2 linked regions of the Ovis aries genome follow. The protein of the gene in region 1 purifies or fractionates together with the protein of each later gene. This does not show direct contact. Links are inferred from orthologs where the notes say so. Each region holds a gene or a part of one and is shown on either strand. Other genes may lie near its edges. The genes, in order: BOD1L1 and SETD1A.

Region 1 (3,814 bases):
TTTTCTGTTGACTTTAATTTAGGGTGAGTTGAATGCTCTGGAAGTTTCTATGACTCAGCCATTGCTACAGTCTGTTATTCCTTCTGCCTCCTGCCTCTCCTTCCCTTGAAGGAGCAGAAATAGAAGGACTTTTAGCAAGGAGTAAGCCCACAGCCTCCTGGAGAAAGGAAGGGTTTTCTTGGGAGGCGTCTGTGTGGGCAGGTGAGAGGAACAAGTCTCAGGACAGAGGAGAGAAGGAAAGGGATAGGTTTGAGTCTACCAGGGAAAATTCTGTTCCCTTTTTATCTGTTTCACAGTTTCTAACTTTGTGTTCAACTTTGCTGTGTCAGCACAAGCAAGTAAAGTGAATCTGTTCACAAATCACCATCTTCATTAAGAAAGTATCTCAGTGGCCTTGAATGTTTTCTTTTAGGGACAAGCTTGATATAGATATCTATAGAAAAATACTTGGACATAAGACGTCCTCGCAAATGATAGCATATCATTCTTTGTGGCCAGCCAGCATAACAGCCAGAAACATTTTTATACACATCCCATCCCCCCGAAATGAGTGAATGACCCCTTGCCTTTTATCTGAGAATTTTCGGATATATTCCCCTTTATTGTTTTCTACTGACAGCAAACTAAAACAGGACGGAGGAGGGCGTAGCATGTCCGGGTAACAACTAGACGACATTCTGTTACCTTTTGATTCAAGATGTAGTTTGCAAGCAAATTCTTAAACTGATTGAATGGTTTGCATTTCTTTAGGCAGCAAAGAGTCCCCATCAAATGCTGTGGGAAGATTGGGACTGAAAACCAACTTGAAACCTGAGGTATGGCTGATCATTCAGTTATGCTGAACTGCCAATGGTGTACATACCTTTTCACCATGTACAGATACATGTACACAAGCAGAATGCAGCCCCGGCTCTCACTGTACCGAAGCTATTTCAGTTCTGTTACTGACACGTCGTGTGAGGGAAGAGCTCAGAACCTCAGTAGTCTCAGCTGATAGCACCGTCATCAGTTCCATCCACTCAAACCAGAAAGCCAAGTGTCAGCGTCAGTCACCCCTCGTTTCATCTATTGCTGGTTCTCATAGTTTCCATTCCCAAAATGTGACTTGAATCCACCTATTTCTGTTTCTATGGCTGCCACCTAGTCTGAGCCTCTACCCCAGTAGGTAGTGTCCCCATTCTGCTTCCTCTCCAGCCCTTCCTCCAGTCTTCACCCAGCCCTGAGAGTTAGCTTGAAAAACATAAACTAGGTCATGTCATTGCTCTGCTTGAAATTTCCAATGACTTCTCATTGCATTTAGAATAAAATCTAGTTTGGGAGGAGGTTTTCTGGTTCTTCTGTCACAGCCTGTGTGCTTTAAACAGTTTAGTCTCCATGCCCCCTTCCAGCCTGATCTCCTGGCGCCTCCGAGTCCACGGGACAAGATAGTGGTAAATATGGGGGCTGTGAACGCAGTGCGGAGGAGCCTCGACTCACAGCAGGGTCAGTGGGTGGAAGGGGATGGCTTGCAGGAGGACTTTGGAGTGGACTTCTGCAAACAGTTCGAAGTGTACCCGAGGACACAGAAAGGGAAGAGCCAGTCATGAGTCCTGGGCACTGCAGTGTTTCAGGGATGAGCTGCGCTGAGACCTCAAGCCTCTTGAAGAAATGAGACCAGATCAGGAAGGGCTTATGTGTTGTACTCAGTATTTTACTTTAGCGCAGTAGGAGAGCCACTGATGGATGAAATACGAGATTAGTTTTACCTTTTTGTTCCTAAAGGTTGACAGGATGCTGAGTGTTTTGTTTAATTCCCTTCAGGTGAATTAAACTTACCTTCTTATTTCAAAAACCTCATTTACCTTGTTATGGTGCCTTGGACTTTTTAGGTATTTGTGCCATCAGAGGAAGAGAAAAATCATGAGATGCCAGCACCACCAGGAAGTTCAGGTGGGAGAAAGCTGAGTGGAACAGGTAAACTCCTTTAGCAGTTGTTCACATTTTTTTTTTCCTTATGTGTGGGTTTATCTTTTATTATCACTTAAAATTTATAGCTAATATGTAATAAAACATTGACAGGCTATATGGATTTACCTATCATTTTTTTAACATAGATTAGAGAAAACTCTTTGCTATTTCATTTTTAACTTACACTTTTTCTTCATAAAGCATTAACATCAGTCAAAATCACGTAAGGTTGTGTTTAAATCTGATGTCTCCAAATAATTGTGGCCAAACGAGCTGCTTTGGAACAGACCCTTGCTCTCGCCCACAAGTATGTCTCTATGGCCCTCCTTGTCCCTCCAGGTGCCATCACAAGCTCATTTCCAGAAGGCTAGTCTGCGCCTGTGTGCCCACTTCTTTTAACCTCAGGCTCTTGACCCCTGGGGTCTGGCCGTTGCTGCGTCACTGAAGCTCCTCCCCGCTTGCAGAGCCTCTTCTCAGTCTCTCTCTGCACCAGTCTTCAGTGTCCACTAAAGGTGTGAAGGGAAAGGTCTCAGCCTCAGACAGGGTTAGGACAGCAGCTCTCAAACACGTCGGTCTCAGGACCACTTTACACGTGACCTCATCTGAATCTGACCACCTGCCAGAGACCCTCACTACAGCGCCATCACGTTGGGGATTGCATTTTTAATAGATGGGGTGGGTGGCAGTATATTCATTGTGAAGGGGACACAAACATCCAGTCTGTAGCATTCAAAACACTGAAAAGTTCAGGCAAAGCATGATCCAGGAGCAGAGACCTCTTTCAAAGGCCCGATTTCTTACCTTCTCTCTTAATCCCCAGCAGAAGTAATCGCTTTCCCATTCTTGGCCTCTAGGAAGATACGTTGTGCTGTCATTCATGGCTGAAGCCCTGAGACTTGTGATTCAGTTTAGGTGCCTGAGTTACATTTTCAGAATTCTTTTTAAACTCAGCTGTATGTTGTGGGCGTCCTTCATTGTCAGCGTATGCAGACCGGCTTCCTTTGTTTCAATAGTGGTCTGCAACACACGGCCCCCGTGCTGTTGGGTCTCTGAGTGCCCTCCAGTGTTTGTAGTGTTTACTGTTACAAATAACGCTGCAGTGAGCTTCCATATGTCTATAATCATGTACTTCTCCAATTTTTTTTGAAAAAGTGAACCGAGAGGTCAAAGAACACACACATTTAAATTTTCATTTCAAGCACTTGCTATTCCCCCTAATTTGGAGACAAATATTGAAGAACAAGTAGGTGTGTATTTGGTGGACCAGACAAAGAAAGGCAGTGTGTGAGGAGTGGTGTGTATAAATCCTCAACCAGGGCTATCTGGGGCTGTCAGGGTGGGGACCTTCCAAGGCAAACCATCTGAAAGGGCAGCCTTCAAAGTACGTGACCACAGGAACCTTATAAGCAGAAATACCAGGGGTTCCTGGAAGACCACCCCAAGACCTGGTAAGCCACTCGTCCTGACATGTTAAAACCCTAACGATGACTAATCTTCCCAAAACTTGGATAGATGGTATTAGTTAAAATTCCTGTGTATGTATTATAGTATACATAATTAATATCCCATTTGTTAATTGTCAAGAAGGTAACATTTTTGGATTCTGAAGTTCTTTGTTCCCAGAGTTGTATTTCAGACTGTGTTTAGGTACAGTTCAATAAGAGATCTACTTACGTAAAAGGAAGTTGTTTAAAAGAAAAATGTGTGTTCTGTCATTGTTGAGTAGAAACAGTAGGCCTTGTACTTCAGGCTTCCAAAGAATATAAATAGACCTTTGCTGTTTGAGGGGATAGGCTCTAACTTTTCATTTGATGGGATTATTTTTAAATGAACCAGTGTTACCCTGTCACCTAACGGTTACAGCACA
Region 2 (3,814 bases), on another chromosome or scaffold:
TATGTAATTGACACGTAACATTGTATTACTATTTTATTTTAGACAAAGAAGTTGCAGGGTGGAGAAGGTTAATACCTATTTATTTTAAAAACCTGCACAAATAATACATGAACTCTCACGTTAAAAAAATCAGAGAATACAGAAAAAAGCAAAAGCCCCACCCCATTTGGCACAACCCTACCACCCCCACCTGCCCCAGTCTTTGTCCCAGTGTCCTCCAGTGGGAACTTCCACCAGTCCTGAAGGTGCCCTTCCTGGCTTTGCAATGGCATACACATTTGTAAATGTACATTTAGAAAAGGTTTCTAAAGCCAAAACAGTGTAATTTCATTGACGTGAAGGAAAAGCCCAAATAAAGTACCACCTCAGCTTCTTGAGGGGGGACTTCCTGACCCCTTTCTCATTGGGTAAGACTCCAGTACAATTTTATAAAGCCTTTTAATACAAGATTCAGTTTCTTACATTGTATATATTTTAACCTCACAGAACAAAGAATATTGTTTGTAGTCAAAATAATGGATACTTTAATTCTGGGGAGATCTGGGCAGTTGCATCCTGGTTACAAAATGCAGCTGGCAAAAAAAGTTGTCTGATGTCTGTCTGATTGTTGGATGAGGTTCTGTCACTACCAGTCGTGGTTAAAGAAAAGAGAAAGACTGGAGTCCAAGTGCTGAGTTTCCTCAGAGTGCCACCCCTGCCCTTAGAGCGCCACCCCTGCCCCTGAGAGCGCCACCCCTGCCCCTGAGAGCGCCACCCCTGCCCCTGAGAGCGCCACCCCTGCCCCTCAGAGCGCCACCCCTGCCCCTGAGAGCGCCACCCCTGCCCCTCAGGGCCTGCGCTGCCCTGTGTTTCACATGATTGTTTCCTTGGACTAGAAGTTCCAGAAGGGCTTCAAAGGTGTTTTCCTCATACTTGACATGGTTAAAAGTGAAGTCGCTAGTCATGTCTTACCAGGTTCCTCCGTCCATGGGATTTTCCAGACAAGAATACTGGAGTGGGTTGTCATTTCCTTCTCCAGGGGATCCTCCTGACCCAGGGATTGAACCCGGGTGTCCCACATTGCAGGCAGATACTTTACCATCTGAGCCACCAGGGAAGCCCTCCCATAGTTCATTTCAGTTCAGTAGCTCAGTCGTGTCCAACTCTTTGTGACCCCATGGACTGCAGCACGCCAGGCCTCCCTATCCATCACCAACTCCTGGAGTTTACTCAAACTCATGTCCATTGAGTTGGTAATGCCATCCAACTATCTCATCCTCTATTGTCCCCTTCTCCTCCCACCTTCAATCTTTCCCAGCATCAGGGTCTTTTCCAATGAGTTGGTTTTTCACATCATGTGGCCAAAGTATTGGAGTTTCAGCTTCAGCATCAGTCCTTCCAATGAATATTCAGGACTGATTTTCTTTAGGATGGACTGGTTGCATCTCCTTGCAGTCCAAGAGACTCTCAAGAGTCTTCTCCACCACCACAGTTCAAAAGCATCAATTCTTCAGCACTCAGCTTTCTTTATAGTCCAACTTTCACATCCATACATGACCAGTGGAAAAACCATAGCTTTGACAAGACGGACTTTTGTTGGCAAAGTAATGTCTCTGCTTTTCAATATGCTATCTAGGTTGGTCATGACTTTTCTTCCAAGGAGCAAGCGTCTTTTAATGCAGTCACCACTGCAGTCACCATCTGCAGTGATTTTGGAGCCCAAAAAAATAAAGTCTGTAACTGTTTCCATTGCTTCCCCACCTATTTGCCATGAAGTGATGGGACCAGATGCCATGATCTTAGTTTTCTGAATGTTTTAAGCCAACTTTTCCACACTCTTTTACTTTCATCAAGAGGCTCTTCAGTTCTTCACTTTCTGCTATGAAGGTGGTGTCATCTGCATATCTGAGGTGACTGATATTTCTCCCAGCTGTCTTGATTCCAGCTTGTGCTTCCTCTAGCTCAGGATTTCTCATGATGTACTCTGCATATAAGATAAATAAGCAGGGTGACAATATACAGCCTTGACGTACTCCTTTCCTGATTTGGAACCAGTCTGTTGTTTCATGTCCAGTTCTAACTGTTGTTTCGTGACCTGTATGCAGATTTCTCAGGAGGCAAGTCAGGTGGTCTGGTATTCCCATCTCTAAGAGTTTTCCACAGTTTGTTGTGATCTACACAGTCAAAGGCTTTCCCATAGTTAGTGCTCAGGAAGTGTTTGCAGAAGGTATGAATGAGCAGATGCAAAATGCCACCCCATCAGGGGAACCCCTCCTAACGAGGACACGGCACGGGGGAGAGGCCAGTGTGTCAGGTGGAAGGTGAGGAGCAAGGGTGGCTGGGGTGTGGACTCCCAGGGGAGGCTGGCTGGTCGCCTGCCTCCAGCGAATTTCCATCATCATATCCATCTGATCGCGGAGAAGCTGACCCTCGCCCTTCTTTGTGCTTCTCTCTCCAGGTTCCACCGAGGAGCCGCCTCCCAGTGCGCCCCAGCCTCCCCCAGAGCCACCAGCTGGACCCCCGGCCCCCACCCCCCGCCCCGACGAGCGCCCTTCCTCTCCCATCCCTCTCCTGCCCCCACCCAAGAAACGCCGGAAAACCGTCTCCTTCTCTGCTGTGGAGGAGGCACCGGCCCCAGAGCCTCCCCCCGCCGCGCTGCCACAGGTCAAGTCTGCCGCCCCTGCCTACCGCAAAGCCCCCCGGGCTGTGGAGCGGACCATTCGCAACTTGCCCCTCGACCACGCCTCTCTGGTCAAGAGTTGGCCTGAGGAGGTGTCCCGAGGAGGCCGGAACCGGGCCGGAGGCCGGGGCCGCTCCGCTGAGGAAGAGGAGGCCGAACCCGCCACGGAAGTGGACCTGGCTGTGCTGGCTGACCTGGCCCTGACCCCAGCACGGCGTGGCCTGCCCGCCCTGCCCGCCGCCGACGACTCGGAGGCCGCGGAGACGCTCGACGAGGCGGAGCGCCCGGGCCCCCTGCTCAGCCACATCCTCCTGGAGCACAACTATGCCCTGGCCGTCAGGCCGCCGCCGCCGCCCCCGCAGCCACCCTCCACGCCTGCCCCTCGTCCCTTGGAACCCGTTCCGGCCCCCGCGGCCCTCTTCAGCTCCCCGGCGGACGAGGTCCTCGAGGCCCCAGAGGTGGTGGTGGCCGAGGTGGAGGAGCCAAAGCAGCTGCCACAGCAGCAGGAGGATGGGGAGGAGGAGGAAGAGGAAGAGGAGTCGGAGTCATCGGAGAGCAGCAGCAGTAGCAGCAGCGATGGCGAGGGCGCCACCCGGCGGCGCAGCCTCCGCTCGCACACGCGGCGCCGGCGGCCGCCCCCGCCCCCCCCCCCGCCGCCACCCCCCACCTTCGATCCCCGCAGCGAGTTTGAGCAGATGACCATCCTCTATGACATTTGGAACTCGGGCCTGGACTTGGAGGACATGAGCTACCTGCGGCTGACGTATGAGCGGCTTCTGCAGCAGACTAGTGGGGCCGACTGGCTGAACGACACCCACTGGGTCCAGCACACCAATATCCTGAGCCCCAGAGTCTGGCCTCAGGACAGGGAGACAGGCCTGGGGGTGGAGGTGGGGGCCCTCCCTGGGGTCGCTGGCCAGGCACTGCCCTCCTGCGATCATTCCTGGGTCTGTGTTTACCTCAGTCCCTGTCCTGTTCTCTGCCACGTTCAGCTTGGGTATTTCTTCTCTGGCTGCCAAGTCACCATTTCTCTCTGCTTCATGCCTGTTTTCTGCCTTTTGATGTTTTGGTGGCAGAAAAGGTGGAGTCTAAGACATTTCTGTCTGTCCTTCTGTCTTAACAGTGAGTAAGCTCAGGACCTCCAGCTAAGGCCAG

Evidence for each region.
Region 2: the proteins of BOD1L1 (region 1) and SETD1A purify together in Homo sapiens (affinity purification with mass spectrometry; 3 studies listed by BioGRID and IntAct, with this or other methods). This does not show direct contact. The link is inferred for Ovis aries from reciprocal best matches to the Homo sapiens genes BOD1L1 and SETD1A.

The regions. Positions count from the first base shown.
Region 1 is NC_056059.1:109,456,750-109,460,563, reverse strand, and holds part of BOD1L1 (biorientation of chromosomes in cell division protein 1-like 1), read left to right. Parts: intron 1-750; coding exon 751-815; intron 816-1,868; coding exon 1,869-1,953; exon of another isoform or gene 1,954-3,814. UniProt on the Homo sapiens protein: Component of the fork protection machinery required to protect stalled/damaged replication forks from uncontrolled DNA2-dependent resection.
Region 2 is NC_056077.1:27,626,927-27,630,740, forward strand, and holds part of SETD1A (histone-lysine N-methyltransferase SETD1A), read left to right. Parts: intron 1-2,437; coding exon 2,438-3,493; intron 3,494-3,814. UniProt on the Homo sapiens protein: Histone methyltransferase that catalyzes methyl group transfer from S-adenosyl-L-methionine to the epsilon-amino group of 'Lys-4' of histone H3 (H3K4) via a non-processive mechanism.